7 linked regions of the Nothobranchius furzeri genome follow. The protein of the gene in region 3 purifies or fractionates together with the protein of the main gene of each other region. This does not show direct contact. Links are inferred from orthologs where the notes say so. Each region holds a gene or a part of one and is shown on either strand. Other genes may lie near its edges.

Region 1 (4,847 bases), on a different chromosome or scaffold from region 3:
AAAAGGGATAAGGCCACATGTTTATCACTGATTGTTTATATACATGCGGTCACGTGGCAGTCTACTTAGAAATGGCTAATTCTCCTCCAGGTTTCCATAGTAACAAGCATACCACAGAATCCCAGACCAGATCAGTTTATGATGCATAGGTACTTTATCTCAAACTATTAAATATCTCACAAGAAAAATCCAGAAATCACCTTGAAGAAACCACGTGTTGACATAGTGAACATTATAAATTTATTTTAGAGTGATTTAGATAACGAGCGTGAAGGCACCTTTTTTGCAGAGTGTAAAACACTTTTCCTCCAAAGCGATAATGCTGAATTAAGTTCACTTTGACATCACATGGTCCCCAAAACTTTGGCTTCCTTGAATGTGCCCTACAGCCAAACTCCTTCAGAAGGTGAATCGTTTCTTCTCCTAACACAGACCAAAGAGGATCACACCTCTGCCTCCGAAACTGGGAGCCCTGCTTAATCAGTGGAGCGCGTGGCTCCGAGACGCCATACTGCTGCTCGCAGGCCTGTCTCTTCACCTAACTCAAATGAACAAAAGCAGAGGTCTGCTCAGTCGTCTACTTTCTCAGCCACGTTCTTGCTCTCAGTATCTGGTTTTCTGTCGGCAGAGTTGGATTCTCTTCTGTCTGCTCCTGGTGTGGCACGGTGGCGGCTCCGGGCCCCTGGCTGGTAAAGCTGAATGGCGGGTCGGTCCTGTTGCAAATAATATAAATAAAATATTACAAAAGGAAAACAAACTCAGAAATTATTTGGCACAAGTGTGAGAAATAACTGGAGTCCGTACCTTATTCCGCAGTCGCTCCCTTTTGCTGCTCTCATCCTTTTTGTTCTCTTTGGCAGCCTTCTCCGTTTTCTCACCGCGAGGGGAATCTGCCATGTTTTCATTCCTCTTCTTCTCCAACGCCTTTTCTTTTTTAATCTCCTCTTCCCGCTTCCTGAACGTGTTCTCTCCATCATGCTGCTCCCTCCTCCTCCGTCTTTCCTCGTCCTGCCGTCTGAAGCGCTCCTTTTCCCTCTGCCGCCGCTCCTCCCGCTCTCTGTCTCGATCAAAGTCCCGCTCCCTGAATTCCTTTCTCCCACTTTCATCTCTTCTAAAAGGAAATCACAGCTGGAGTTAAATCAGTTAAATGTACAAACAAAAGTGCAAAATGCCAGGAAAAAAAGAACAAGAACTGACTTTCTTTCACGATCCTCCTTGTTCTCGATGTTATGTCTCCTCTTCAGATCACTGAATGACCGGACCTCTTTATGTGGCTTCTCTGGTTTCTTGGACTTCTCTTTAGGCTTTTCAGACTCTGCTTCATCATTTCTATCTGGTTTCTTCAGGAGCTGAATATAAAGACACAATCATCATGAGAAACTTGAAATTGACAGATGCATTTTTTTTTTTCACTGCACGAACCTTAATTTTTGGTTCTTCCTTAACGTGGTCCTTGTCTTTCTCCGGCAGTTTCTCAAGTCTTTTCATCTTCTCAGCCTCTTTCCGTTTTCTCCTCTCCTCCTCCCTCCACTTGCGACGCTCTTCGTCACGCAGGCGCTTGCGTTCAAGCTCCCTCCTTCGTCTCTCCTCTCTCTTTTCCTCCCTGATTCTCTGAAAGTTAAAATAGAAAGTTTGATGGATTCTTGCTAACATGCAGTTGAACCAATTTATCCTAAACACCAAAAAACGATTACCACATGCTTACCTGTTTATTCTTCAGGTAGTCCAACAAGGGCGTGGTCTTTTTAGCTAAAAGAAAGGGGAAGAAACCCACAATAAGAAATCTTGTCAAATGCAATGCTCCTGTTTACATACAAGCAGTTATAACAGTCCCATTTTTGGTTCTTTTTTAAACACAGATAAGGTTTTTCTTTACCTTGCTGACGTTTCGTTTACGGCTGCAAACATCTTCAGAGCTGACGCTGATGGTGGCGTCACTTCCTACACATCCACATCAGCGGCAGCTCTGAAGATGTTTGCAGCCGTAAACGAAACGTCAGCAAGGTAAAGAAAAACCTTATCTGTGTTTAAAAAAAGAACCAAAAATGGAATTTGAAGACAAACACAGCAAGTGATAACGGTGCTGTCATAAACAAACCTTCAAGTTCTTTTGATCTGGCCTCGATCTCCTCCAACAAGGTCTCAGGCGTAGATGTCAGCTTCTCTTCGTCTCCGTTGTAATATTCAAGAAATTTTTTATAATCAGGATCTGATAAAAACACAAACATGCTGAGCTATAGATTTTTATAGATAGATCTCAAAATAGATATGTTAGGGACGAACATGGAGTTTCTTCAAGCTTATTTCTTTTTATAACAGAGAAGATCAAAACCACCAGACAGTTTAAACCCTTGCCTTCAGTAATTGTTCCACACTTCGAGTCCTTCTTCTTACTTCTTTTCTTGGCTATCTTTTGAAACGGCGCAAACTCCACAATGGCTGGATACTCCTGTCCTGTTGAATGGCCAAACATAAACAAGGACAGTCTCAGGTCAACGCTCTGGAACACTTCACAGAAAACTGGGTGTGTGTTCTTGATACCTCTGTTGTCTATGAACACATATCCATCGAATCGATCTCTGAAGAGAACAATATCATCTTCATTTTTGAAACTGATGTAAGCCCTCGCGAAGAGATGGGGATACAGGCTAAAATGACCGGAAGTGCCATGTTAGACCAACACAATGAAGGAAATGCTAACAGTCATTTTACAGGTGAACTCACCTGGTGTCGTTTGAGAAAAACTCCATGTAGTCCACCTCTGGGAGAGGCTGCAGCTGCTCCTCTAACTCCTCTTTAGACAGACTTGGTGGTAATCGTCTGATTACAATCTACGAACACATTGTAAAAAGTTCACTACCTTAATTACTAAGCAGGGCTTTGTAAAATGAAATTTTGGTCCAGTCTTTAAATGTATAATTTCAATCGTAGAACATTTTATCTGAAAACAAAAACAAAACAAAAAAGTTAAACCATGCTTTTATTTAATAGAACTACACGAATCCAAAACTGACGTCTGTAGCAACATTAGCTGCTTTAGCTAGCAAGTTTTACCTTTGTCATGGCCTCTTTCTTTTCTTTTGACTTCTCAGTCTTTTCTCCATCTTCACACTTTAGCTCCACTTTTTTCTCCTTCGGTCGAGTGTTTTCTTTGTCTTCTTTCATAGCTGAACGTCTACAGAGATCCACAGCCTGCTCTCATCTCACTCAACAGACTTGTTTACTTTTCAGAGAGTTAGCCAGCTAGCAGCTAGATACTAACCGCTCGAAACTTCCTTTCTGACTACTGAAGCTGCATTTACAAGTTTTTACCAGGAGGTGGCGCTAAATACAAAGCAATTACACATTTAAAAAAAAATGTTTTTGGTAATTACTATTTTCGGTAATTACTGGTAATTATATTTTTGTTAATGTCCATTCTAAAATATTTTTCTATAGTAAATTTTTTTGTAGAGCTAGGGTTAAGTCTGATGTAAAGTTAAGATTGAGATATGTCTACTGTCCACTTAGTGACACTAGACATCTTTTTATTGGAAACATTGCATTGTTTCCCTATTTGTGTTTCAAATTTTCCTTGTTCGTTACTTTTATGTATTTGATTAATGTATTTTGTGATACGTTTATCCCACGACCCTGCATGGACTAACAGGTATAGAGAGTGGATGGATGATACTTTTATTTTATTTATCTTTTAATAGTATTACCAAATTGTATCTTTATCTGTTTATAAAGTTACTCTATCTATCTATCTATCTATCTATCTATCTATCTATCTATCTATCTATCTATCTATCTATCTATCTATCTATCTATCTATCTATCTATCTATCTATCTATCCATCCATCCATCCATCCATCCATCCATCCATCCATCCATCCATCCATCCATCCATCCATCCATCCATCCATCCATCCATCCATCCATCCATCCATCCATCCATCCATCCATCCATCCATCCATCCATCCATCCATCATCTAGTAAAGTAAGTAAGTAAATTTATTTATATAGCACTCATCAAAGACAGAAAACCACAGTGCTTCACATAGATCAAAACAAAACAAATCATAAAGTCATAAAATCATAATGATCTTAAAAAAAGATTAAAACAGAAAAGTTAAGTCATTAAATGATAAAATACCATAAAACAGATGAAAGATGATTTCTAATTTTGAGTTAAAAATAAGAAAATAAAAGATTTAGGTAAAAGTAGCTTTAAATAAAAGGGTCTTTAGCTGTTTTTTTAAAAGTGTCTAAACTGTCAATGCTACATAAAGATAAAGGAAGATCATTCCAGAGTCGGGGTGCAACAGTCTGGAAGGAGCTATCCCCTCGACTTTTATATCTGGTCTTTGGAACATCTGGAACGTTCTGGTGAGTGGACCTGAGGGCTCGGATTGGAGCATAAGGCTTTAACAGTTCAGTAATATAGGGCGGAGCTTGACCATGTAGAGCATTGAAAGTTGTCGTCGTCGTCTTCCTCCGCTTATCCGGGTCCGGGTCGCGGGGGCAGCATCCCAACTAGGGAGCTCCAGGCCGTCCTCTCCCCGGCCTTGTCCACCAGCTCCTCCGGCAGGACCCCAAGGCGTTCCCGGACCAGATTGGAGATGTAACCTCTCCAACGTGTCCTGGGTCGACTCGGGGGCCTTCTACCGGCAGGACATGCCCGAAACACCTCCCCGGGGAGGCGTCCAGGAGGCATCCTGACCAGATGCCCAAACCACCTCAACTGGCTCCTTTCGATCCGGAGGAGCAGCGGTTCTACTCCGAGTCCCTCCCGAATGTCCGAGCTCCTCACCCTATCTCTAAGGCTGAGCCCGGCCACCCTACGGAGGAAACTCATTTCGG
Region 2 (4,123 bases), on a different chromosome or scaffold from region 3:
AATTGTCTCTTCAAATTCACGATGCAAATGCTGACACACACAACCGGATTAGCCTCCGCCACGCAGCCGGGCTGCTGCTGGGACCATTAGTGGGTGGCGTCACCAGTGTGAGCAACGCTCAGTGAGTCACCGTGGGTGAAGCCTGTAGATCATCTAGGCTTCTAATCTTTGTTTTCTCCAGGGCATTTAAAACCATCCATGCTAAGTTATCATGTCAGAAGACACAGGTGGACACCTGGATTACTGACACCCTGACTGACGCACCTCAGAGTGTGAGACTGAACGTTACAGTAACAGCGGACTGCCTTCGTGTATTCACCTGTACTTTTGCTATCATTTACTTCTTCTTCCTTTTCTCCAAGTGAATTCTCCCACTGTGGGATTAATTAGGTCGATTCTATTCTATGTCCTGGTCCTGTCATTCAGAGTGTCTCAGACATGGACAAGAGACAGAGGACAGAGACGATGTGGGTGAATCTGTGGAAGGGTGAGGCATCTGATCTTAGATGTTAACAGAACAAAGATGATTGTGGATCTTAGGAGAAGAAGGAACACGCAAGACTCGCTCCATCTGACACAGCACCAAGACCGCCCCTTTAACGGTTTTGCGTTACAGTCTTTCAGCTAGATGTGTGCGATGCCGTCGTCGTACTTTTACTAGAACGTCAGCTTTTGACACAGTCCCAACATATTTTTGGACCGGTAACAACTAACCCTAACCCGGCCCTTCAATGGCTGCAGTCCTACTTTGACGTTAAGTGGTGTCTGGATAGGGAAGACCACCTCTGCCTGGGAGAGACTCTGATGATGGGTTCCACAGGGCTCCATGCTGGGCCCCCTCTTTTTGCAGTCTATTTGCTGCCAGTGAGGGGCTCCCTGTCAGCATAATGCGATGGTTCCAGATCTACCCACCTCTCTGTCTGGGGACAGGTGGCTCCGTCTCTCCACTCTAGACTCTTAGGAGGAAGTTAAGTTATGGATGGCCTACAGTTATTTGCATTTGAATATGAACAGAACGGAGGTAATGATTCTGACCACCAATAGAGCCTTCAGGTTGACCTTGCTTCTCTGTCCTCACACGATAGGAAGGTAGTCACGAACTTAAAATTTGATGCTTCTACCAGATGCTGGTCTGAGCCTGGGTGCGGTGGCACGGCTCCAGGTGGCCCAGAACTGGACACTCTGGTTCTTGACAGGTACAAGGAAGAGGGATCATATCGCTCCCGTGTTGGATTTGCTTCACTGGTTCTCGGTTGTGTACCTGGCTAAACTTAAGGTCCTGCTCCATGTCTATAGGGCCCTGCAGGGCGGTGCACCCCGTACCTCACTGCTTTGCTGCACATGGGTTACCTGAACTGAATTTATACACCACCACCCTCACCCTCAGATAAATGGATGGAAACAAGATGGAAATTATATCGGTTGTTAATATCGGCCCAGTTTTGTTTATCGGACTGACACCTATTGATGCGGATATATTGTGCACCCCTAATTTAAGTGGCATCTTCCTAAAGGGTCCCCTCCTGTTGATGGCATCATAGACAGGTCACTGCCACAGCCCTGCTGTCCTCTAGGGGGCGTCTCCTTTCCGCTATTTTAATACACATTTTTTCTTTAGTTGTGTGAATGCTCGTTAGTTTCAGTTAGTTTGCTTTTTTTGTAAAATCTCCTTTATATTTTCAATTCAGTTCATCAAAATGTTTTACCTTTTAGTCTACGTTAACAATACCAGCCTTGATAAGCTCCTCCCACATTAGCGTCTCATACCTGTGGATGTAGAGTTCTCTGTTGTTGGGCAGATCATAGTTGATGATGAGGGACACCTGTGGGACATCCAGACCTCGAGCCCAGACATCGGTGGAGATGAGGACACGACTGTAGGAGAGAGATTTGGTAGAACGTATGTGATGCTGTGGTTTTGAGTGCGTGTCCACCATGTCCGCTGAGAATCTAATACCTTGCTCCAGATCTGAACTCCTTCATGATGGACTCTCGTTCTTTCTGCGGCATGTCTCCGTGCATGGAGGACACAGTGAAGTTGGCCTCCCTCATCTTTTCTGTCAGCCAGTCCACCTGAAACCACACCCACAGGTTGGAGGTTAAACTATTTCTCTGCCTTTGGTTCAGCAGGGCTCAGATCAGCTGATCCTCGGGTCTGGCCGCCGCGCGCACCGGCAGCACGAAGAGAGAGCGGCGCTGCAGACTTTAATCATCAACAGGAAAAAACAGCTTCAACTGTGCAGGAAAAGTTGTTTAAACCAGAGGCCGACTGGTATATCAAATCAAATCAACTTTATTTATAAAGCGCTTTCACACGCCCAAAACGGACAAACAAAGCGCTGTACACCAATAAGAATCACAACAATAAAACAGACATATAACCATTTAAAATACAATAAGAAATCCCGAGTACAAGTTCGCAATCCATATCAGTCCTTTCCCAGAATCAGATCCAGACACATTCAAAGTGATGCTGCCCACCCAATCCCAACTTCAGTGTCCAAACGCTAGGGCTGTAGCGAAGCCTAGATGACGTTGACGGCTCGATTCTAAAAATTTGTCGACGTCAGATCCGGAAGTCGACGCACCGCGCCCACTTGTTGCATCCCCAGGAGTTTGTAAATAGAGGAGGAATCTGTCTGTTTTTCCTCTAGTTCGCCCTCTTCTCCGCCTTCACTAACATCTCCGCCAAATACCGAAGACCCGGAACAATGTCCGTCCACTACTAGATTCCTTTCCTGTTTTGCCCGCCTTCGTCTCCCGGCATCGGACAACTTCCGGGGTCAGATGTGCTGCTCGGTCTCTACCGCAGATGTAGGACATCACCGGGAGCGTTTCTCCCTTCATTAAGGAGCTTCTTTCAGACATGAGGAGAGCTGTTTTGGTGGTAGCAGTCTCTCCTCCGTGCTGGTCTGTTTGCTGCTGGGTGTTTTTGGTTTGTTTAAACTTGGTAACTTGAACTTAACGTTGGTAAAGCTACTGTTAACATTTTCGCTAACAGCTTCTTGCGTTTGGATAAGCCGTTACGTTTTGGTTTAGAGTTCATCTTTTTGTGGCGTAGATCTCCCTTTTATTACATTTAGAGTGTTGTGGGTTTTCGGTTTAGTGTAAAATATCACCTGAGTTTGGTTTAACCCGTAAGACCACTCGCCTCACGCACATAAGTGACCAAAACAAAGCAGCATGGAGACACTCCATCTTCTACCACCTCTCAGGCAGCAGCCTGCACTCCCAAGTTCTACACGTCACCAGAACATAACCAACCAACACAATAAAAGCAGTGTTATACAAAATGGAAGGCCTGTAGTGTTTATTCTCTTACAGTAACAATTTATCAATTTTTTTGAGGAATTTATTTGAGATTTTCTGGTTTTTGTTAATTGTGCAATAGAAAAATAATCATTAGATTAATTTTCTAAATAGTCATTAGAATAGTCGACTATTCGATAAAATAATCGTCAGAATAATCGTTTTAAAAATAATCGTTTACCCCCAGCCCTACCAAACGCCAACGAGAACAGATGCGTTTGTAGTCGGCTTTTAAAGGTCTCCAGTGATTTGGCCTGCTTTACGTCGGCTGGCAGCTCGTTCCACAGACTTGGTCCGAGCGCTGAAAAGGCACGACTCCCACGAGACTTCAGGCTGTACCTGGGCACGGTTAATAGTCTCTGGTCAGCTGACCTAGGGGAACGCACCGGGACATGTCGGTGGATGACGTCACAAAGGTGTTTAGGTGCCCCTGAGTTTAACGCCTTAAACACAAACAGGAAGACATTAAACCTGATGCGATAGGAGACAGGGAGCCGATGCAAGGCACGTGGGACTGGTGTAATATGTTCAGACCTCCTGGTAGATGTTAACAACCGAGCAGCCGAGTTCTGAGCCGCCTGGAGGCGTGCTATTGGCGCTTGCCTAAGCCCCGCATATAGCGAGTTGTGATAATCCAGCCTGCAGGTACCAAAGGCACGGATCACAGTCGGGCAGATAAATAACAGTTTTTCTATATCGGCCACTGGTCAAAATTATTTTTAAAAGCCGATAAAAAATAATAATCTGGCACCTGTGTGGCCAGCTGCTGCCGCTACTAGACTAAGAAAGGACCCGAAGAACCCCAACACAGTTT
Region 3 (4,123 bases):
ACTTAAACAATATTGACGACACGGGCAACATAAAATTCACTTATGAGTTAGAAACAGAAGGCAGCATAGCATTTATGGACATGAAAATCACCAGGCAGACCGACGGGACCCTAAACATAAACACATACAGGAAACCAACACACACAGACCAATATTTATTATGGACATCAGAACACCCCACCATACACAAAATGTCAGTAATCAGAACATTATATCACCGAGCAAACATGATAACAGAAGAGAGAGACCGTAAACAAGAGGACAAACACATACAACACGCTTTAAAGACCTGCAGATACCCGACATGGGCAATAAACAAAGGAAAACAACAAACAAAAACAGAAAGCAAAGAACAACCCAAAAAAAGAACCAGAAACCCAGAAAGACAAGAACCAAAACCAGTGATAACCCTACCATACATCAAAGGCATAACAGAAAAAATAAGAGCAACAATGAAAAAACACAACATAAACACACCAACAAAGCCATACACAACAGTTAGAAACAGATTAGTACACCCAAAAGACAAAATATCAGCTGGACAAAAATGTGGAGTCATCTACGAAATCCCATGCAAAATATGCAATAAAACATACATAGGAGAAACCGGACGCCAACTCAATACACGGACAATAGAACATAGAAAGGAGTGCGAGAAAGAGGCAAATCGTAAACACACAAGAGCAGCAAAAGAAGAAGCAGAAAGTACAATAAAAAAGTCAGCCGTAACAGATCATTGCTTAAGAGAAAACCATATAATGGACTGGGACAACACACGGATCATAACCACCGAACAACAAAAATACAAAAGATGGATCAAGGAAGCAATAGAGATAAGGAGACGTGGATGTGGGACCATGAACAGGGACGACGGAGTTTACACACTGGACCACGCATGGGACTGCATCGTCGGAGAGGGGAGAGCGGGCAGTAGAGGGCGACAACGTCCTCTGCTGCCCGCAGATAAACGGAGAAGGAAGTGACGCGCCACCATCAGCGTCAGCCTGAAGAAGCCGGCAGCTGTCGGCGAAACCGTAGCTACAAACAGGTAAACAAAACTGTTTCTGTGTTTAAAAAAGAACGAAAGCATGGATTTACAAAGACACAGCAAGAACACACCTAAGATGTTCAGATAAGAGAACTCGTAGCTCTTACAGCCTTCTAACCTGTGCTGGCTAATTACTTTTCTACAACGGCCTGACATACCTTCCACAGTTCCTCCAACTTGTTGATCTGCTGGGCCGTGATCTGACGAGCTCGGAGTTGCTCTTGCTCTGATGGGATCTTTACCAGCCAGGACAAAAAGCAGCGGTCCTGGATGAGAGGCTGCCACTGTGAGCTGTCCCAGTTGATGTCCTTCAGGCTGCTCTGACTAGCACAGGGCTGTCTGTGTGGACAGAAACGGGTTTTTACATGTCGATGGTTGCACACAATCGATAGACCCGTGCATCACCTGATCCAGAGCCCAGAATCTCATATCTTCAGCTCAGAAAGCGCAGATATGATTACGCACAAGCGTGACCCGTCAATCCGGTCTCACAGTAAGACCGGGTTGGAACTGTTCAGGTTTACACAGACAATCTTTACATTTAGAATTGACTTATAGGTGTAAAATGAATTCAGTAAAATATAAAGCATTTTATTTAAATATCCATTCATTATTTTACAAGCACAGAGAGCTACATCAGATGGATGCAAGAGCCGCGGGTTGCCGACCCTTGACTGCAACGCAGCAGTAGAGCCCTGCGCGGGACTGTTTTCTTCATCCCGCTTCTGCCCGCTCCCGCTGAATTTCTGACAATTACCGCCCGCAACCGCAACGTGTGTGTTACACTCCCGCCCGCACCTGCACCGTACATGTCTACTCCCGCCCGCAACCGCAAAACTCGGAGAAATTATTACCTCACAACAAAAGAGATGTATTGAGTTTGCGTCCTCTCTGGTCCTGGAGAAAACATGTCATTTTATAGGCTATACCAGGGGTCGGCAACCCGCAGCTCTTCCATCCATCTGATGCGGCTCTCTGTGCTTGTAAAATAATGAATGGATATTTAAATAAAATGCTTTATATTTTACTGAATTAATTTTACATCTGTAAGTCAATTCTAAATATAAAGATTGTCTGCATAAACCTGAACAGGCCCAACCCGGTCTTACTGTGAGACCGGATTGACGGGTCACGCTTGTGCGTAATCATATCGGCGCTTTCTGAGCTGAAGATATGAGATTCTGGGCTTCTCCTCAGACGGCTCCTGGATGCGTCGCCACATTGGAGACAGGAACAAGCACTATTCAGCCAAAGTTTCATAACCAGGGAACATTTTCTAAGTGACAAGTCTCTCTGAGAGACAGGGTTTGGAAAACACTCGCTTCAGTGGGAGGAACCTTCCTGCATGCGCTCTCGTTCTGTGACGCGCTCCAAGTCAATCTCCACAACTTCAGCTCGCTGTGCACATATGCGCTGACAGCGAGCTGCGCTGAGCAGTGTCCAGCTCAGATGGGAACCTTTTAGCTACATCTGCAATGTGCATAACGAATAAAATGTCAGTTCGTCTACAATGCGTCGGGGTAATTCTTTCTATTCTTTCTCCGTCAAAATAAACGGTCAAATACGGGAACTGTCCGGTCAACACAACACAAGCCCTGCTTTTAACTGTTCTGTTTTCTTGTGAAAATTGTTGGAAAGATAAAATTTAACTTGATTACCACCAGAGCCAGTGCGCCGTCATCTCCGTGACGGTAAATGAGGGAAAACCAAATTGATCGGATCCTGCACGTCTTTTAACACATTGGTCAGGATTGACGCACTTTGTTTTCATTTAGTTGGTTAAAAAAAAGTCGGGCTCGGGTCGGGCCAGAGAATCCTGAAAACCTTTTCGGACCGGGTCGGGCAGGGGCTCCACCCCCTCGGGCCGGACACAGGTTCAGATTTTAGGCCCGTGCAGGGCTCTACTCTGGATGCAGTGGAGAGAAATAAAGGAACCAGCAAAGACAGAACCGGTCCATGTTTGGGATCAAAAGTACAGCTACACGCAAATTGGCTAATGCTAAAGCTAACAGGTAGCAGTCTCACGATCAAGTGGCCCACAGAAAAATATTTGATGATCATAAAACTAAGACTAAACTCTACAAGCGGATGAAAAGTCCCCACCATCCTGTTTATTCTGCATCCTGCAGCGCTATGGATCAGAACCGCTGCAGATATGAGACACATTACTGCTACAAGTCTGCTCCACACACAGGAGCAGGAAGTACGGCAAGCCGTTGTAGTATACAATTCACAAACGCTTCTATCTTTGAACATAATTAAAACTGGATTATTGCCAACCCGTACATAATAGACATGCCACCATTACATTGTTAGCAGCAGAAATTAAATGTTATTACCATTTCCAATACAAATGCATGTTAATGAAATGCATAATATTTTACTGGATATATTTGTGTTTTTATAATAAGATGAGTGTTATTAACACAAACCTAAAATGTTACTGAAATGTAGATCAAATATTTAAAAATATTTTTAACTATAAATATCAGACGGGGAAAAGGGAACTAAACACCAATCTAATGCATATTATTGAGCCTTTCATAATAAAAGTCTGTTATTTCAGCCTGATAATTTTGTTGTTTTATTTCATATTTTTTAGCAGCAAACCAGTTTTGTTTCACTTGAAACATTGTCAAATGGAATATTCAATTAATCAATAGAAGCTTAGATAAGAACACTTAATGAAAAAATATTTTGCCTTTAAAAAAGTGAGGCAGTTGAATGCACAGAGTATGCATGTGCTGGCACATGGTCAGGATGGTACCAGCTCTGCCTCAATTTGAGCCAGGAAAAGCCCTGTTTCTTCTTATATTTTTCCAAGTTAGTTGTTCAACCTTCTGACGGTCACTCTCATACAGACGAGTTTTGGTGAATGCAGTTATGTCTGTTGCTCTGAGTGTCTTTTTATTTCTGCAGGGAGTAATGAAAACTCAGCTCACTTTGCCCAGAGTTTGTTCTTTCAAATTTGCTGGATTGATGCATTTTAACGAGCTACTACCCCCGCAGGTTTACATCCTTCTCACAGATGGACTAAAAGTTCAGTAGAAATGTTTGTGTACACTTTTGCTACTG
Region 4 (4,123 bases), on a different chromosome or scaffold from region 3:
GTTTTGTTACTTTTTGCAAGTTTAGAAAAGAAGCAGATGAGACAGCATGTCTGATAATTTAGTTTTTCATCTGATAATATTAGAACATGTCAGTAATGTCTGAGGGGCTTTTATAAACACCATATAACTAACACTACTGGAGAAGGTATGAATTACACAGAGGCTTCTGGGGAGCCCAGTTATGGGGGGGGGGGACATTTTGCCTTGGCCCCCAAAATGTCTTGAAACGGCCCTGGGTGTGTGACTGAGTTTTGAAGGTGATCTGAATTGTATCAGATGTATAACTATGACATGTGTATAACTTATTGTTTTTTACTGGTAAAAACGTGTAGTGGAGATAAATACCTACATTTTACTTTGTTTTCTTGTTTTTATTTAACTATTTTCCTGTCCTGTCTGTCTCTCATCTTCCTGCATCTCCTCATAATTCTCCAGAAAATCTGTTGCCTGGATTCTTACTTTTTCACCTCATCAGTTACTTTTGAGCAGATCAAAGGGATCTCCTGACCGCAAAGCGGAGAGCGCGTTTTCGATGCTGCGTGAGGTGAAATCACCACAGCACAGGTGATGAGCTCCGCAGTAGCAGAGCGCTTCAGGCACAAATAAGACAGAAAATAGAGAACATGTGCAGACAAGAACGATCGTGTGCTAATTATAGTTTTTTGGTTGCGCCACTTTGAGAATGGACCGTGCGCTGGAAGCAGCTGCCTGGATCGCTGTGCAACAATGCGGAACCGGTTCGCAGCAGCGCAAGTCTGCAGGCTCTCCCTCGCGCTGATCTGCCGGTACCGGCTCTCCCTCGCGCTGATCTGCGGCTCTCCCTCGCGCTGATCTGACTTGCTCTGGTCTGCGCGCAACGGCGGGCGGGAAGGGGGGGGGCGCTTTTGGAAGAGTTGTGCGACACAACGAATCGATGACGCAATTCGTTGCCAACGCTTTTAGTAATCGATTTTCATCGAATTCATCGATTCGTTGTTGCAGCCCTACTATACACTTAGTTTTAAAGTCAGTCTAGTTTAATTTGTTAGTAATAAAATTCTTAACTTTTAAACTTGACTCTCTCTGTTCTGTTGTCTCTGAGTGAATACGTAACGGTTATCTAATCCCTGCAATAAAAAGATCCAATCTTCTGGTTTAAATAACCCAGTGTCCATTAGATGGGATTCATACTCGATATGGATCTTATGTCTATGGTCATTACTTAAACTGTAATCCTACATTTATTACACATGAAACTATAAATGTTTGGTCCGTTGGTCATCTGTATTAACTGATGTTGGTAATAAACTCACAAAAAGAAAACGTAAATAATGCCTGATCATTTCTAGCGATCTCGATTTTGAGACGATTTTTTTCTCGAGGTCGGGGCGAGTCGTGTGTAGTGTGCGTGGGGTAACAAGCACAGGGCGGTCGCACTAAGATCAAACATGTTTGCTCACACGTCATCGTTTTACTTCTACATTTTTTCTGCACACAATGACACGGATTGTCTAGAAAGTGTTTGCTGAGTTTATGTCAAATAAAATGGCTCCTAAAACATCAGGTTACTTTATCCTCCAACCCCCATAAACCCGAATGTCCTCCTACATCTATGGCAAGCCTCAAGGACAAAAGACATCAATAACAGCTCAGCAGTTTATGGATATTCCGGGTTTTTGGACTTGAAGGTCTGACGTGTTGCTAGCACAGATCCGTGGCTCATGAGGTCGAGCTGCGTAGAAGTTGTCTGGTTTCAGAGGCAGCTGAATGCAAGTGAAACGGTTACACAGCGTATGCTGGTTCTGCCGGCCCGAACCCAGAGCTACGACCCGGTTCTTACCGAAGAGGCCCAGCAGCTGGAACCAAATGATCTGCTGCTCGCTGCTGTAGGTCTGCTCGCGGCCGTCCCCCGTCAGGTCTCGCAGGTGGTGGAGTTCAAACAGGTTGATGACGGTGATGTGGACCAGCTGCTGGGAGCTGAAGGCCTTCTGCAAAATCAGCCGCTGGACAAAAAGAAGACAACGTTCTGTCTGAAGCAGCTCCACGTAGTCATCAAAGTTTAATCACATTTACCATCTGGGTTTCCAACAATTATAAAAACAAAACATGCCAATTATTTGCTCCTCCCTCCTGTGCTGCTCCAAGTAACAAATCTAACGCACCTCACACACGACGTTACCATCTCTATCGCTAAATCTAACAACGCTTCAGACCCCCTCTTGAACCTTTACCCTAATGGAGAGCAACACATCTGATGACTCCTAGCATCTTTCTGTAGAAGTCCGACGGCAATAATTCGTGAAGGTTAGTAAAACATCAGGATACATCGACTGACTGACCGTAAACCTTTCTCCGTGGAGCTCACTTGCTTGCTTTACAAGCTAAAGCCATTGAAGACATAGCGATCCGGATCTGAAGTAGATGTTTATTCCATCAGGGCTGCCAATTCTCACGTGGGGCTCGCACCTGTCTTCACGCCACCCCCCCAGGTTCTCAGGCTGATAAACAATAACAGTTCATCTCTGAGGGACACACACACCTACGGCTCTGCTGACAGGACTACATCACTATTATGCAGCAGGTTGTTGAGTTCACAACAACATAGGTGTTTATTATTATATTGCAGGTGTTTGCCCTTCATAGCTCTTTTATAGCAGGTGAGGTCTGTAGGGTATAAACTGTGAGCAGGTGTGTTGGCTCTTTTAGAATAGAACAGACCTTTGTTGAGGGGGGTTAAGGCAACACTTAGAGAAACAGCGGACGTGAATAATACAGGTCAAAGGGCATTCGGCTACTGCCGTAACCTTCAGCACTGAAAAATAAATTTAAATAGAAAACTCAGTTTCCATGAAGAAACAGCATAAAGTCAGAATAATGCTGATTATCTTTTCTGCCATGATCGTGCAGCCCCAACCCCACATCACAAGAACCGTTCTGGTACCTGAAACTGCTCCTCCAGCTTGTCCCTCAGGACGTCCAGCTTGTCCAGACCCTTGCTCAGGTAGACGTGGCCGTGGAACTTGATGAAGGCCCTGATGAAGTCAGACACGCTCCACTTGGTCTTCACCTCATCACGGCTGCAGACACACAGAGGAACCGGGCTGTTAGAACTTCTCTGGAGCTGCAGAGGAGCAGCCTGATGGTGGTGGGACATTACCTGTCCAGAGCCTTGGATAGGGCCTTCTGCAGGTTGGTGGAGGCTGCTGGGAAGGGGAACTTGACTGCGATGCTGCGGCAGTAGTAGAAGATGGTGGTGAGGTGGTCTCCCTTAGAGGAGGCCAGGATGGCCAGCTGGTTGTAGGGCTGACCTGCAGAGAAACACAGAACATCACCAGCAGGAAACTACAAACATGGCTGCTGCAGCATCAGGTCCATTTCACCACACCAGCTCACCGTTTGATGGGACCAGCTGAGCTGCGTGTCGGTAGTACGACTCCGCCTGGCTGGTCTGGTTCCGATAACGGGCTGAAAAAGGAGAACAGGGATAAGAACCGGAACGTTTCTACAGATGTTCTGTTAGACCTGCTCCTGAGTGGTTCCTCACCGATGTCTCCCAGATGGACCAGGCAGTGCTGACAGATGTAGGAACAGGAACTGGGCTGAGGTGTGATGATGGTGCCGCCACCGCTCTGCTTGTTGCTGATGATGCCGAGCTGAGACGACTTGACCCGACAGGGAAGGTCCACGCTGAAGACGGTGCAGAGCTCCTGGAGCAACTAGAAGACCACAGAGATCCATCAGGACTACAGCAGGTCCAACAGAGGACAGAATACACACCAGAACTCGTCAGAACCCATAAGGCCTGCTCTGAAAACACTCAAAGCGCAGAAAAGTTTTTTTTTATCATCAAGAAACAAACTGAACAAGGTTTTAGTCCAATCGGGACTAAACTGGATCAGATGGTTCTGAAACGGCTTCTGCCTCTGGGCCTGGCGCCGTTCTCCTCTCTTTTAGCTTTTATTGTGAAATTCTCTGGGCATCCTGTTCCTGTGAAATGCTTCAGCATCAGGTGAAACATCAGACCTTCACCTACAGTACAGCCATCACATGACCATGCTGCTGGTTGACTCTCAGCTCAACTGGACCAGAACCACCACATGGCAAACTCCAGGGTAGTTCCTGGGACGGGGAACTTGGCCAGGAG
Region 5 (4,823 bases), on a different chromosome or scaffold from region 3:
TTTACACCAGGGTTTCCCCCAGCGCTTTGCTTGGCGGGCCGCCAGACTAAGCATCATGCTCCACCCCCCTCCCTGACTGTGTCCACTGACACGAATGGCGCAATGAAACTAGAGCCCTCCATCAGCTGATACTGGTGAGAAACAGCAGCGGAACATGTGCAACCACCCCACCCCTGCTCTCACGGAGGAGCACTAATAAAACCACTTTGACTGTATTCATTTTTTTAGTTAGCCGTTGTCTCCTGGTAACACTTAGCGTAATGCCGTCTAAAGTGGATTTTCTGAGTCCTGCTAGATGGACACAGTATCAGACAGATTCCTGTATCGGGCCATCTATAATTCTGTAGATTCCAGTTCTTTAGAGAAAAGATGGAATTGGCCAAGTTTAACTCATTCACTGCCATTTGCATTTTTTTACTGTGTGGGCATAGGAACGAGTCCCCACACCGCGAGAACAAACATCTCAGCTCTAAAGCCAATCTTCATCTGCATACGGCACACATCAAGTGACCAGGAAGCAGAAAATCCATGTGTTAGGAGGTCCTTTTGGGCCACTGCTGTAAAACAAATAAATAAATAAATAAAAAATAAAAAAAGTGTGGCGCGAACCAGAAAAGCTTCTGCAGATCACAATTCAATAACGGATTATGAAAGAACAGATAAAGCTCGAAACGCACGGATTCTTCCTGCTGTAAGAGGTATCATCATCCTAGTGCGCAATGCTCTGTGACTCTTAAAAAAACAGTAAAAATGGCACACAAAAAAAAAACCGCTGGCAGGGAAGGGCTTTATCGGTCAGGAAACAGCTGGCAGCGAATGAGTTAATATCAGCTGCTCAAAGCTGTACAAATATCAGAAATATGTATAATTACACAAAATTTACATAGGTCCATTTTTTTATTTATTGTGCAGAAATTTATCAGAATTTAACCAAATGATAACCACCTCTTAAAACTTCCCATTATGTCAAATGAAGCTCAGACTAGCTCTGGAACAGAGCAGCTGAGCCAAATGAACATGGACAAAAAGACAACAAAGAGCTAAAAAGCTGTTTATGCATCAGAACCTGCTGACCAGATCCATCTGGATTTCCTGAGTCTCACCTGTCCATCACCACTCTGCCTCTCTCCTGTGAGGTTTTCCTTGTCCTCCCCCTTGGGCTCCTCCTTACTGTGTCCTTCTGCTTCCTCCTCAGCCTTCTCTTCCTCTTCCACCTCCTCCGGTTTTGGGTCGACAGCAACTGAAGGTTTGGGCTCACTGGTTGCTGCTGGAGCTTCCTCTTCACTGTAACCCTCCTCTTCCTCCTCTACCCCCTGGAAAAAGAATTTTTCAGAAACATCTCTTCTTCAGTTTGGTCTTTGAATTGGCATCCTTAGGTTGTTGTGCCAGATCTTTGACCAATCTGAACGTCTTTTCAATCCTACAGTCAAAAACAGACTCAGTTCTTGTCTGAGGGAAGGAAACTGGGAGTTGTGTTAGGCTGGATTTACCTCTGAATGGGAGCGGTTTTCCTCCGGATCAGCACTGTCATAATCTGAGAGGACAGCTGAACAAAACAGAGCCAGAGTCATAAAATCAGGAATCACCAACAACAAATCTAACGTGGAGCTGGATAACCAGGAGAGGCTCTTACCTTCTCCGGCTCCATCTTCACTCTCCTGCAATGACAAACAGGATCAAAATGACAACGTGAAGAATCTGGCTGCCTTTAGGTGTCAGGATAGACTCTTTCCTGGTGAAGGGGATGCTAGGTTCCTCATAATTTTACAGTGACATATGTGATGTCTGACTTGTAATCATTTTAATTATGAATTTTAACAAGCTAATAAATCTTAAATTACCTGACAGTTGAAAGAAACTCAAATCATTTTTAATTAACTCCAAGTACAACATACAAGTTATTCAGGGCTTACTGCAAAGCAGATTAGAACATAGCTTTTAAAGCCCCGTTCACTTGCATTCTTTTTTTATTTGTTCCAGGGACCCATGGACCAAACGAACAAGTAGGAGACTTTGGCTCCTTATTACTGTTGGCTCAAATACAAACACAGATGACAATAATGGAAAATATTTTTTAATCAGGACACTAGTTCATTTAACAAAGAGCGAGAAGTGTTCTCGTTAGCACGTTTTACTTGATGGTAAAAATCTTCTTTAGTTGAGACCTGGGTATCAAAACATGTTTATCCCCAATACATTTTGAAGTGATAATGTCCTCACGAACAATTATTTAGAAATCAACCCCTAAATAATTCATTTGACACATTTTATCTTAATGTAACCAAGTGTAATGCAGATGAACAAGTAAGGCCTGTAGCTAAAGGGTGGTACCCCAATGACATAAAATGTAGTGGACACTGAGGCCTTGAGACATGTCAAGCCCTCAGTCCCCTGATGGGTGAGGGTCAATGACTGCCTGGGTGAAGCTACTCAGTCATGGGAATCCAGCCTCGCGCATCTTCTGAATCAGAGTATTCTGATTTGTGATTACGAGATTTTATCTATGTCGTAACGCCCCTTAGTGCAACTGGGGCTAATCTGTGATTAATCAGAACTAACAGGGTCTTTAGATGTAATGGAACCACCACGGGTCTGAAGTCCAGCGTGGAGCCGCAGACTCAGGCGAATATCAGGGTGACTTTTAGCTCTTGGTTCGGCAGAAGAATCCACTTGGACCTCAGGTAACCATCCTCTATTCTCCAGTAACGGTTCTGAGAGACTGTTGGGACTGAGCCGGTGTTATGTCACATTTTGTTCCCGAGTAAATGTGGTTCAACTGCCACCTTTTCGTCTCAGATCATCGAACTACGAATGAACGACAAAACCCATCTCCTTACTGATGAACTAGTTAATCACCCACAGTCACGTCGAACCTAATGGTACCTCTAGAGAGCCTTAAGGTTTTTCTGGAAGCGGAATAAGTCAGAACTTTTAGCCCGAATTCCAAGCTTTGTGATGGACGGACCAACGTTAGCTGCTGGAGTTAGCCTGAGTAGCTACTCACACACTCGGACTCCACGTCGCTCTTCGCCTCGGTCCGGCTCTCTGTCACCTCCACTGGTTCGGGATCTCGACCTCGAGCCTTTGTCACGGGAGAACCCGACCTTCCGCTGTCCGAACCAGAACCGGACTCGTCGTCCTCGCTGTCCTGAGACGCGCGCCTCCTCCTTCGCCGCCGGTCCGCCATCTTAGGACTGGAATGGTTAGTAACGGAAAAAGCAACGCATTATGGGTAATGGTGTTCTTTTGGAGAGCAAATTCTCCCAGCTCTTTGATGTCTACTGCCGCCCTCTGGAAATGATTAGTACAACAACGATGTAATAACTATTTTAATTTGAACGTGTACGTGAATAAACTAAAGCAATTTTTACACATATTAGCCGTTACAAAAAAGTATGAATAATCTGGAACACCTGCACGTTAAATCAACAATGTAACCTACAAAAAACTGCTGGGAATCAAATTGTTGCCCTCATTTTCTAAGAAGATGCCAACTAGAGAACGTCCAAAGATCGGAAGTAAGTTGAAAAACTGAAATAGTGGCGTGTGTGTGTGTGTGTGTGTGTGGGGGGGGGGGGGGGGGGGGGGTCGTCTTTATGGTAAGTATGCTAAAAATATGTATAAAACTACAGGCTAGAAGGGGCTCTTTTATGCAATGTCAGGAATGCAGAACTGTCAATTAACATGTGCTCTGAAGTCACGTGGCTCTGATGCTCATTAATTATTCAGAATTTTAAGCATTAAATTACACTTTAAACAGAAGAGTGACAAAAAATCACCCCCTCAGAGTTGTCATGAATGTAAACTAGATCTATTAAACCTAAAGTGATTTTTTTAACCAGGCTGTAAACATGTTTTTTTTTTCTGCTGTGAAAATGGCATTTTTAACATGGGAGTCAATGAGGATTTGCTCACTTCTGGTAGAAGCCCCTTGGCCTGGCCTGCCAGACTCTTCCTCTGTTTAATTATGCACAGAGAGAGGGTGAAGAAAAGGCCAGGGGTCTCATTTATCAAACGTTGCGTAGAATCCTTACTAAAACCGTAAGCTCAGCAAAAAAAAAATGTACTTACGCCAAGTAGGTTTATGATCTATCAAACATGGAGTACGCACAGCTACACGCAATCTCCGCTTCATAAATTGGAGAATAATGAGAATGTTTCTCAGCTGCATTTTAGTCACATCCCGCCCTCACCACGCCCACTTACTGCCATAAATAGTCAATGCAAAGTGCCTTGTGAATCTTATGCATATACATAAGCCAGCTGTTGCAGCATTTCGATCACGACTGCAGATCAAGGAAGCGCTCTTTCACAAGCAGAAATTCAGGTACCTGTGGGTGAGGTGGAGAAATGAAAGGAAGTGCTTTTGTAAAACAAGAGAAAATTCACTCAGTGGCACAGCGTTGCTGAAGCCGTCAATGCTGAGTTCTTCAGAGAGATCTGTGGCGGATATTAAAAAAATGATCCGATCAGGATTCAATCCCCAGACTCCCGGATGAAAGTCATGCGTGCTAACCAGTCAGCCAAACAGAGATCTTCCTTGTACAAGTAGCCAGGGCGCATGATCAATCGGGTCACAGTGACAGGACACTTACATTGTCACTTACGCATGACATTCTGTATCAATCTGTCACCTTGCTAATTTTCTGCATTCCGTATTTTGCGCATCAGACTGTGTGTGTGCGCGCCAGGTGCACGCGCATGTGTGTGGGAGGTCTTGTTCCGTGTGAAAACGAAGCAGTACAAGGGATAATGCTCCAAGGCAGCTGTGGCTACATTGTAGCTCATCCCCACCAGCATGTAAATGTGTGTGTAAATGTGTG
Region 6 (4,607 bases), on a different chromosome or scaffold from region 3:
CAAAAGCATGTAAACAGCGAGCGACACGAGTACTAAACAAAGGGAAAATTAGAGCCTGAAATAGTTTTTGCCATCAAAACAAAAATTAAACTCTTCCAGCATTCCTTCAACTAGTTCTTGCCCAGTTCCATTATCAGAAGTAGCGCATCTAGCGGGGGCTCATAGAGAGCGGTATGTTAACTAGCTTACCAACGTTAGCTTACGTTCTCTCTGCAGCTGTTCACCGATGTAAACATGTTGCTGACTTTGCCTAAATCCACCCCTCTGGATTTATAACTTTATGTTGTAAACAGCGTTTCACTTCACACCAAAGCAGATTTTTAAAAAGTCTGGATCTCTACCAGCTCCTGTTGCTGGTGGTGTTACCGGGTTCAGCTGCTGCTCTCACATCGGAATGAGATCTCTGAACGCTGAAGCTCATATAAATAAATAAATAACGTAATTTTAACACATGTAATCATACATCGGAGCTTTAATATTGTTAATAATTGTCTCGCTTTATACAACAGTGGACGGCGCGCGTCATCCGGGGTGAAATACCCATCCATCAGGATTATCAATAACTTGTATGAACACATCACCTTTATCCCTGTCCCTGTCTTCCTCGTGAAATAAATGAACATTAATCTTACCCGGTAAAAACATGTTCGCTGCAAATCTGAGGGCTACTTCGCTTAATTGATCACTGCAGTTTGTCTCCGTCCTCAGTCTCCCATCAAATTTATTAAAAAGAAAAAACGAGTTGAGTTTATGTCCTTGTCTCTTAGTGCAGCCGACCATGCAGCAGGCTAAAACCATTTTACTGTCAAATCAACTAAATAAAAGCGATAAAAGGCTACAAACTGGCTTGTTTTGACCAGCTTCACTGGGGATTCTACAGGTGTAAATGGTATTTTTGCCGTCCGTCATGGCGAAGGGGGCGGTCACATGAGTGGCGTGAGGTCACGTGCAAAGGGTCAATACCCAATACTTTAACAGTCTCAAGTTGCTTTTCTCTCTAAGGCTGCCCCGTTCCTCCAGGAGGAATTCTTAGAGCATTACATGTCTGGATGTGTTAAATAGATTATGTTTAATAAGTATTTCTTCACAAACAGAGGTGAGAAGTCAGGTCAGAGGGTCAAATTTTCATTCCTTAGGAAGCTTTTCCTTCTCTTGACATAAAAATACTTTGTGCCTTTAGGTAAATTCATGTAGTTTATCATTTATGATGTCTTAAAATACTAGATCATGTCTCACAAAACTGACCTTTAATAGACCCAGCAAGGTTTCTCAAACAAATCACTTATTATGTTGAACTGCTTTACTCACACTTTAACGCTCACACACATCTATCAAAATCAAGTCAATAAAGTTTATGAACAACTTCTCTTGACTGGTTCTGAATGTACCTCCAAACTGGTGTAGAAGCCCCCAGCTTCCTCATCCTGTTGTCCCAGCGTGGGATACAACCACACAAAGCCATTATTACCAAGGATTATAGATGCACCACATGGAAGATTGTGGAAATGTGTTTTCTGCCTCTTGATCAGAGAAGGAGAAATCTGGACCAGCACTCCTTGACCCAACTGACAGTCAAAAAGAATTGAAATAAGATTGAGATTAAAATTATTATTATTATTATTATTATTACTACAGATTATTTTCCCACAAAAGAAGCTTTTTATAATTAGGAACGTGTTAGTGTAAAAATTAGTGGGATTACTCAGTGTCACTGTGTGCTATAACTTACTTTTCCATATTTTAAACTACGAGTGTGAAGTGAGAGTGCTCCATCTGAAAAAACAGACTGCACTTCTGCCTAAAAAACAAACAAAAGTTCAAACCCAGTCAGGAATAAAAAAAAACTGGTAGTAAAAGTTGGTCATTTTGAATCAAATGTGTCTTACACTGATTAGATCGCCTTCCTGGATGTATTTTCTCATGGTGAGCTCGTCTTCTGCAGATCTTCGTCTCTAAAAGGCAAAATCAATCAGTTTAGCAAAAGTAAAAACAAAAATCTCAACCAAAACATATGAAGCTACGTTCTACTATCTCACCAGTTCTCCTCCAGGCAGATTGACAGATGACAATAAGAGGACCGAATCTAGTCTGGAGTTGGTATCCACCTTCCACCGCTTCTGTTGAACCTGAATTTGAAAACATCCCCATTCTGAAAACTCTTGATGAAAGTACTACATCTTTTTACTGTTTTTAGATCACAAAAACATTTGTTCACCTCCGTGATCCTGCCAACAACCACATCTCCAACCTCACCGTTAAATCTGTAATTCACATCAGAGTTATAGGACTGCATTTAGATAAAAGCAGGACACATAGCAAGTGAAAGCAGTGCAGAGGTAAATGATGTTTCATGGCTCTTAAATTAATGGCGTACCTGGTCTTTAGAGGTCTGACGCAGATTAGTTTGTCAACTCTTTGCACCTTTCCTGCAACTGAAGCCGTTAGTTTATCATCGTCGACATATGTTCCATGACCCCTGTGAGAAAACGAGGTAAAGTAATGGTTACCAGGCCTTTACTCCCAGGCTTCACAGTAGAACCAGTACCCACCTCATGAAACCTGTGTCTGAGGTGATAACATCGCCGGGAACTACCAAATCTTTCCGGTATACAGCGGGAGCCGACAAAGTCATTGTTTTTTTAACAGTCGGTAATCTCATGTCCACTGCCATGCTTGTTTCTTCTTACTTTTCCCGCTCGCGACAGAGTCCACAGGGCTTTACTTCTATGTGCACACTTAGAATAGTGAAGAAAATTTAAGAAAGGGTTTCCTCCCCAAAGTTAACAGTCGTTTAAAAACCAACTGGCTCAACAAGCTACAAAAATGGACAACAATATAACTATAACAGACCATGCATGTCTGTGATGCTAGGTAGCACACTCTCCTACTTCTGCTCTGTTACGTAGTTTGTGAGACCAGCTAACGCCCCCTACTGGTACGGAGTAAAAGCGACAGAAATTGATGTTTTGTTACTGCTCTCTTTCCGCCAAATAAAGATCAATGCAGTACTACTGACTCAGCCAGGTTCAGATTAACAAACAACTCAATAATAGCTAAATCATTCCACTTCTGTGATCATAAGATTCATCACAGTTTTACTGGTGGAATCTTATAAGCCCGCTTTAATTGTTAATTCAGGGCTTTTATTTCTTCTTTATCAATTTCACTTCCCTCAGTTTTTGTTTACTTTGCAGAATTTGTGATTTTATTAGGCAAGGTAAAAACATATTCCAGAAAAATATACAAAAACAGGATAATTAGGGTTGGACTTTTTAAATAAATTCAAATTTGTTTTCATGAAAGTTTGTACAAAAATATATAGCCTAGAAAACCATCAGATTGCACCCAGCCTTTACTTTGATTCATCCCCTGGAGCATGCATAGGTCAGACAACAGTGATGAGGAGGATTTCACACTTGGATGCAGACTCCTGGGGGTTGTTTCCTTTCTAGAGCTTTCTTAAGTTAGCTCAACAATACAGCCAAACATCAATTTTTTTCTTTTCATGTTTACAGATGTATGCCATTTAAATTAATACATTCTCAGCTCAATCCAGTATTTTTTCAACTGTAATTAATGTTTTGATGAGTTCTTAAAATATCTATAATCCCAATGCCATCCCTATAAGTTTATTGTGGACTCTTAAAAATACATATATATAGTATAATGCAAGATTATTTTTGCTTCAGCAATTGACGGTCTAGATTCTAGGCTAGGTCAGAATCTTTTTTATTGTTTTGCTCTCAAATTAATTTTTTCAAACACCCCAACCCAGACTTATCTCTGCAAATAGCTTTGTTTTATGGAACTCAAAAGTATTCAAAATTCAATAAATAAATAAGACATTATGAAATAAATGTCTACATGAAGAAATACTAGACAATCATGTAATCTGACAATGAAATGATGAAATAACAGAATGTTATGTAAAATCTAAGTTCAATATTATGAAATATTTTTCATTCTTCTTTTAAAATGGCAGGTCACACCCACTGGTTTGACTGACGGACTGAGACATTCTGCTGTAAAGTCTCATTATGAAATAAATCAGCCATGGGAAAAAACACTATTAAAAAGAAGTTATGTAATAAAAACTGAATGAATTAAATTAAAATGGCTCAATGATCATTTGGTTTATTATGAAAAAAATGACTTTAGAAATAAAACTTTATATTAATAAAGATATTTTAAAAGAAGAAGGATTTCCTATTTCCACCTTCAGAATATTGCTTAGATTAGAAGCATCCTTTCCAGGAGTGATGCTGAAAAACTAGTTCATGCATTTATTACATCAAGACTGGATTACTGTAATACATTACTCTCAGGAAGTCCACAGAATATAGTTAAAAATATTCTGCTTGTCCAAAATGCTGCAGCTAGAGTTCTCATGAGAATTAAAAAGAGAGATCATATCTCTCCTGTCTTTGCTTCCCTACATTGGCTGCCTGTTAAATTCAGAATATATTTTAAGATCCTTCTTCTCACATACAAAGCTCTTAATAATCAGGCTCCATCATACATCAGTGATCTGATTGTTCCATATGTTCCTAACAGAGCACTTCACTCTCAGACTGCAGGTTTACTGGTGGTTCCTAGAATATCTAAAA
Region 7 (3,210 bases), on a different chromosome or scaffold from region 3:
CCGATGCTGATGTATAACAAACGGTAAATATAGGCATGATATATCGGCTGACCGATATAAGCTGTTATTATTGTCTTAAAAATATTGCATACACAGAATGTTACTACTTAAAAGGATCTTGTTTGAATTTAACAGTACAATTTATAACTCTAATTGGGCTGTGAAACTATTTTAGACCCGGAATACAAGCGATTCCTGGAGAATTACTCCTGTGATGAGGAGAAGTCCATGGCTAACCCCGAGACTCTGCTCGGAGAGATTGAAGCCAAGACTAAAGAACTCATAGGTACTCTGTTTTTACTAAAACAAAATCATACCTCTAAATTAGGGTTGTTCCAAAAGATAAATCACATCATTGCTTCTTTTTCTTGGTTTGCTTTCAGCCAAAAGGACAACACCTCTGCTGGAATACATCAAAAATAAGAAAATTGAAAAACAGGTAAGAAATAAAACAGTTGGAGGAAAATTCAATTAAATGTAAACCATGAAAAATAAACTCATTTTTGATGTTTCACACATTTAACAGAGAATCAGAGAGGAGAAGAGAGAGGAAAGGAGAAGGAGGGAACTCGAAAAGAAAAGGCAGCGAGAGGAAGAAAAGCGAAAGCGGCGAGAGGAAGAGAGGCGCAAGCGAAAAGAGGCAGAGAAGCAGAAGAAACTGTCAGAAAAGGACATCAAAATTAAGGTATCACTTCTCCTTTTCAGTGCTGTTAATGTGGTTATCATGTGTGAATGGTGCAGCTGCACACAAATAGAACGTAATTTTCCTTTTTTTTTTTTTGGGGTGGGATATTTAGCTCCTGAAGAAAAGCGACAGAGATGATGATATTGATTCAGACAGAACGAAGGAGAAAAGTGATACTGGTGATGGAGACAGGGGTAATTGGGAGAAATCTGTGGGACAAATGAAGTCAAAAGATCCCAAAGAGAAGTAAGACCTGCTAAATGATTCAATGTACATGCATTGAAAACATGTAGAAATTTCTGCCATTGTTTTCTTTTTTATTATATCAACAAAATAATCCAAATGTAAATGTTCTAATTAGTTTATTTCTAGGTTGTTGACATTTAAAAGTATATGGAATGTAAATTTTTAGCAATGTTCTTCATCCAAAAGACACTTTTGTTGGAAAATTAAATATTTCTTTATTGCCTGCAGTTAAAATTATTTAACAGTGAAATTCATTTTGACATTTAAGGGAAAAAAATGTAAACGTTTTTTTTAAGTAGCCGGAAATTTCATTATTGTGGTTGTACCTTTATGAAAAACAATTCATTATCTTCAGTAGTGCATGCTCTACTTTATGTAACCACTAGAGGTCAGCCTGAAAGCGACAAGGAGCAGAGAGAGCAGCAGCAACACGGGCGCAGGCAGCGAGACAAAGACCACAGAGGAAAAGATGAAGAAAGAAAACGACAACGACACCACTATGAGTTTGATAAGTTCATGCGCCGGAAAGATGAGACCAAGTGGGGGAAAGGCTACTGCCAGGACCGGGCCAAGAAAGAGGGCCATCACCACGGTTACTCCTACTGTCCTGACAGTGGAGAAAAAATGGGAAAGGAGGACAGGGAGGAGCTGAGTAACAGGAAGGAACGCCTCCGAAACAAGGTGAGCGAGAAGGTGAGCATGAGATTAAAAGGAAGCTGGTCACTGATGTATCCCATGATGCAGACATGTAACTATGCTTCGGAAGGTTTATTTATTTATTTTTTTACTACAAACAAAATATGTCAGTCACTTAGTGTTGTGACATACACAACCTCCACCCACACACTCACACTTTCACTGAATGGTGTGGTGGAGATGATGATGGGCTGTTTAAACAAGAAAAACAAAATGTTAAAAGTATATTTATTCATAACTGAAATCCTATTATACCATCACTCTCACCTGTGTGTTCTTAACATAATCTTTGTACATTTTTTCATAGTTTTTTTCTTCTATTACTAATTTATAATAGAATTTGTTGTGTGGCACATGTGTTTTTAGGTCACTAAAAATGTGTAAAAATACACATTGTAACTTTTAACAGCTGTGTGTCTTTAAGTATGTAGTCAAACATCTGGATTTCAATCCCAAGTGGAGCCTTTAGATCTAAACTATGCCCTTTGTTTCATCTCTGCCCTCTTCTCTTCCTTGCAGGACCGTCCAGCCATGCAGCTGTATCAGCCGGGAGCACGCAACAGGAAACGTATGAGCTCAGCCAGTAAAGGCTATGACTGCATCCCTGTGGGCCACTCACCCGAATGCAGGACGGATCGTTGTTATGATGTTGTTACCATGACAACTGGACTAGAGAGGGGCTTTGAAAAAAGCAAAGATGAGCTGTGAGTATTCTGGGTAAAATGAGGAAATACATGTATAAAGTAAAATAAACAGTTTGTCAGGTTATCTGGTTTGACTGGGTTAACTGGCTTATTGGTTCTGTTTCAAAAAAGGAACTGAAAGAAGATATTTTTAAAATAGTAATTAGAGCATTCGCTGCCTGATTGCCAGCATCAGTCTAATTGTCAACCCTTGATAGGATTGTATCCTCTGCATGGGAACATCATTCTTGATTTTATAGATTTTTAATGAAACAAACAATAAAGTTGGAGGAAGTTGCAGACCGATGACGTGGTTAATAAGAGTAAAATATGTTTTTATTACTGTGTACAGGTGAGAAGATGACTATGAATTAATTTAGAAAAACAAAGTTTCTGTCTAAATATTTTACTAGTGCTGTGGTTTAGTCAGCCAGCTTTATACATGATCAACAATGAATCTGTAAGGAAAACGCATAATTATAATGAAAAGTTTGCATTTTTGTTCTGTTACTCAAAACTAGTTATCACAAATGTTTCACTGCAGTTGTTGTCCACATAGGTTTTACAATTAGCTTTAGGGGTAGCTACGTTTTATAGCATTGTGTAAAAAATAGTTTTACGAGCTTAATAATAACTTTGCACGTCTCATTTGTAAGTTTCTTTATAAGAAATACATGATGTCAAACAATTCTGCGGTGTTTCCGTCATTGAGGATGTTCTCTGGGTGTGACAACAGACACCGTATGGTTGTGAGTTAATCACAGTTGGAGGTGATTCAACACAAGAAGGTTAGTGAAGGTGTGGCTCTTATATGAGTAAATAGAAAAAGGGTGTTGGCCTAAATCAGATGAACATCTGATCTGATTTTTGATTTCTGTAAATGAGAAACTGTACTTTGTG

Evidence for each region.
Region 1: the proteins of upf1 (region 3) and upf3b purify together in Homo sapiens (co-immunoprecipitation; 16 studies listed by BioGRID and IntAct, with this or other methods). This does not show direct contact. The link is inferred for Nothobranchius furzeri from reciprocal best matches to the Homo sapiens genes UPF1 and UPF3B.
Region 2: the proteins of upf1 (region 3) and eif4a3 purify together in Homo sapiens (co-immunoprecipitation; 8 studies listed by BioGRID and IntAct, with this or other methods). This does not show direct contact. The link is inferred for Nothobranchius furzeri from reciprocal best matches to the Homo sapiens genes UPF1 and EIF4A3.
Region 4: the proteins of upf1 (region 3) and smg7 purify together in Homo sapiens (affinity purification with western blotting; 7 studies listed by BioGRID and IntAct, with this or other methods). This does not show direct contact. The link is inferred for Nothobranchius furzeri from reciprocal best matches to the Homo sapiens genes UPF1 and SMG7.
Region 5: the proteins of upf1 (region 3) and casc3 purify together in Homo sapiens (co-immunoprecipitation; 5 studies listed by BioGRID and IntAct, with this or other methods). This does not show direct contact. The link is inferred for Nothobranchius furzeri from reciprocal best matches to the Homo sapiens genes UPF1 and CASC3.
Region 6: the proteins of upf1 (region 3) and exosc2 purify together in Homo sapiens (affinity purification with western blotting; 3 studies listed by BioGRID and IntAct, with this or other methods). This does not show direct contact. The link is inferred for Nothobranchius furzeri from reciprocal best matches to the Homo sapiens genes UPF1 and EXOSC2.
Region 7: the proteins of upf1 (region 3) and upf3a purify together in Homo sapiens (affinity purification with western blotting; 5 studies listed by BioGRID and IntAct, with this or other methods). This does not show direct contact. The link is inferred for Nothobranchius furzeri from reciprocal best matches to the Homo sapiens genes UPF1 and UPF3A.

What each region holds. Positions count from the first base shown.
Region 1 is NC_091741.1:85,713,538-85,718,384, reverse strand, and holds upf3b (regulator of nonsense transcripts 3B), read right to left. Parts: upstream 3,292-4,847; 5' UTR 3,166-3,291; coding exon 3,055-3,165; intron 2,832-3,054; coding exon 2,725-2,831; intron 2,649-2,724; coding exon 2,542-2,648; intron 2,455-2,541; coding exon 2,356-2,454; intron 2,210-2,355; coding exon 2,099-2,209; intron 1,750-2,098; coding exon 1,706-1,749; intron 1,612-1,705; coding exon 1,423-1,611; intron 1,350-1,422; coding exon 1,198-1,349; intron 1,112-1,197; coding exon 805-1,111; intron 714-804; coding exon 570-713; 3' UTR 138-569; downstream 1-137. UniProt on the Homo sapiens protein: Involved in nonsense-mediated decay (NMD) of mRNAs containing premature stop codons by associating with the nuclear exon junction complex (EJC) and serving as link between the EJC core and NMD machinery.
Region 2 is NC_091746.1:29,291,783-29,295,905, forward strand, and holds part of eif4a3 (eukaryotic initiation factor 4A-III), read right to left. Parts: intron 2,074-4,123; coding exon 1,958-2,073; intron 1,876-1,957; coding exon 1,768-1,875; intron 1-1,767. UniProt on the Homo sapiens protein: ATP-dependent RNA helicase. Involved in pre-mRNA splicing as component of the spliceosome. Core component of the splicing-dependent multiprotein exon junction complex (EJC) deposited at splice junctions on mRNAs.
Region 3 is NC_091748.1:65,886,960-65,891,082, reverse strand, and holds part of upf1 (regulator of nonsense transcripts 1), read right to left. Parts: intron 1,388-4,123; coding exon 1,207-1,387; intron 1-1,206. UniProt on the Homo sapiens protein: RNA-dependent helicase required for nonsense-mediated decay (NMD) of aberrant mRNAs containing premature stop codons and modulates the expression level of normal mRNAs.
Region 4 is NC_091751.1:34,600,184-34,604,306, forward strand, and holds part of smg7 (nonsense-mediated mRNA decay factor SMG7), read right to left. Parts: intron 3,696-4,123; coding exon 3,524-3,695; intron 3,445-3,523; coding exon 3,373-3,444; intron 3,288-3,372; coding exon 3,137-3,287; intron 3,057-3,136; coding exon 2,921-3,056; intron 1,983-2,920; coding exon 1,820-1,982; intron 1-1,819. UniProt on the Homo sapiens protein: Plays a role in nonsense-mediated mRNA decay. Recruits UPF1 to cytoplasmic mRNA decay bodies.
Region 5 is NC_091746.1:33,209,052-33,213,874, forward strand, and holds the start of casc3 (protein CASC3), read right to left. Parts: upstream 3,231-4,823; 5' UTR 3,188-3,230; coding exon 3,005-3,187; intron 1,659-3,004; coding exon 1,634-1,658; intron 1,547-1,633; coding exon 1,491-1,546; intron 1,314-1,490; coding exon 1,104-1,313; intron 1-1,103. UniProt on the Homo sapiens protein: Required for pre-mRNA splicing as component of the spliceosome. Core component of the splicing-dependent multiprotein exon junction complex (EJC) deposited at splice junctions on mRNAs.
Region 6 is NC_091746.1:53,646,217-53,650,823, reverse strand, and holds the start of exosc2 (exosome complex component RRP4), read right to left. Parts: upstream 2,893-4,607; 5' UTR 2,672-2,892; coding exon 2,550-2,671; intron 2,477-2,549; coding exon 2,375-2,476; intron 2,262-2,374; coding exon 2,216-2,261; intron 2,127-2,215; coding exon 2,037-2,126; intron 1,953-2,036; coding exon 1,887-1,952; intron 1,799-1,886; coding exon 1,730-1,798; intron 1,566-1,729; coding exon 1,389-1,565; intron 1-1,388. UniProt on the Homo sapiens protein: Non-catalytic component of the RNA exosome complex which has 3'->5' exoribonuclease activity and participates in a multitude of cellular RNA processing and degradation events.
Region 7 is NC_091754.1:29,406,441-29,409,650, forward strand, and holds the end of upf3a (regulator of nonsense transcripts 3A), read left to right. Parts: intron 1-175; coding exon 176-286; intron 287-383; coding exon 384-439; intron 440-526; coding exon 527-685; intron 686-797; coding exon 798-931; intron 932-1,317; coding exon 1,318-1,624; intron 1,625-2,146; coding exon 2,147-2,335; 3' UTR 2,336-2,513; downstream 2,514-3,210. UniProt on the Homo sapiens protein: Involved in nonsense-mediated decay (NMD) of mRNAs containing premature stop codons by associating with the nuclear exon junction complex (EJC) and serving as link between the EJC core and NMD machinery.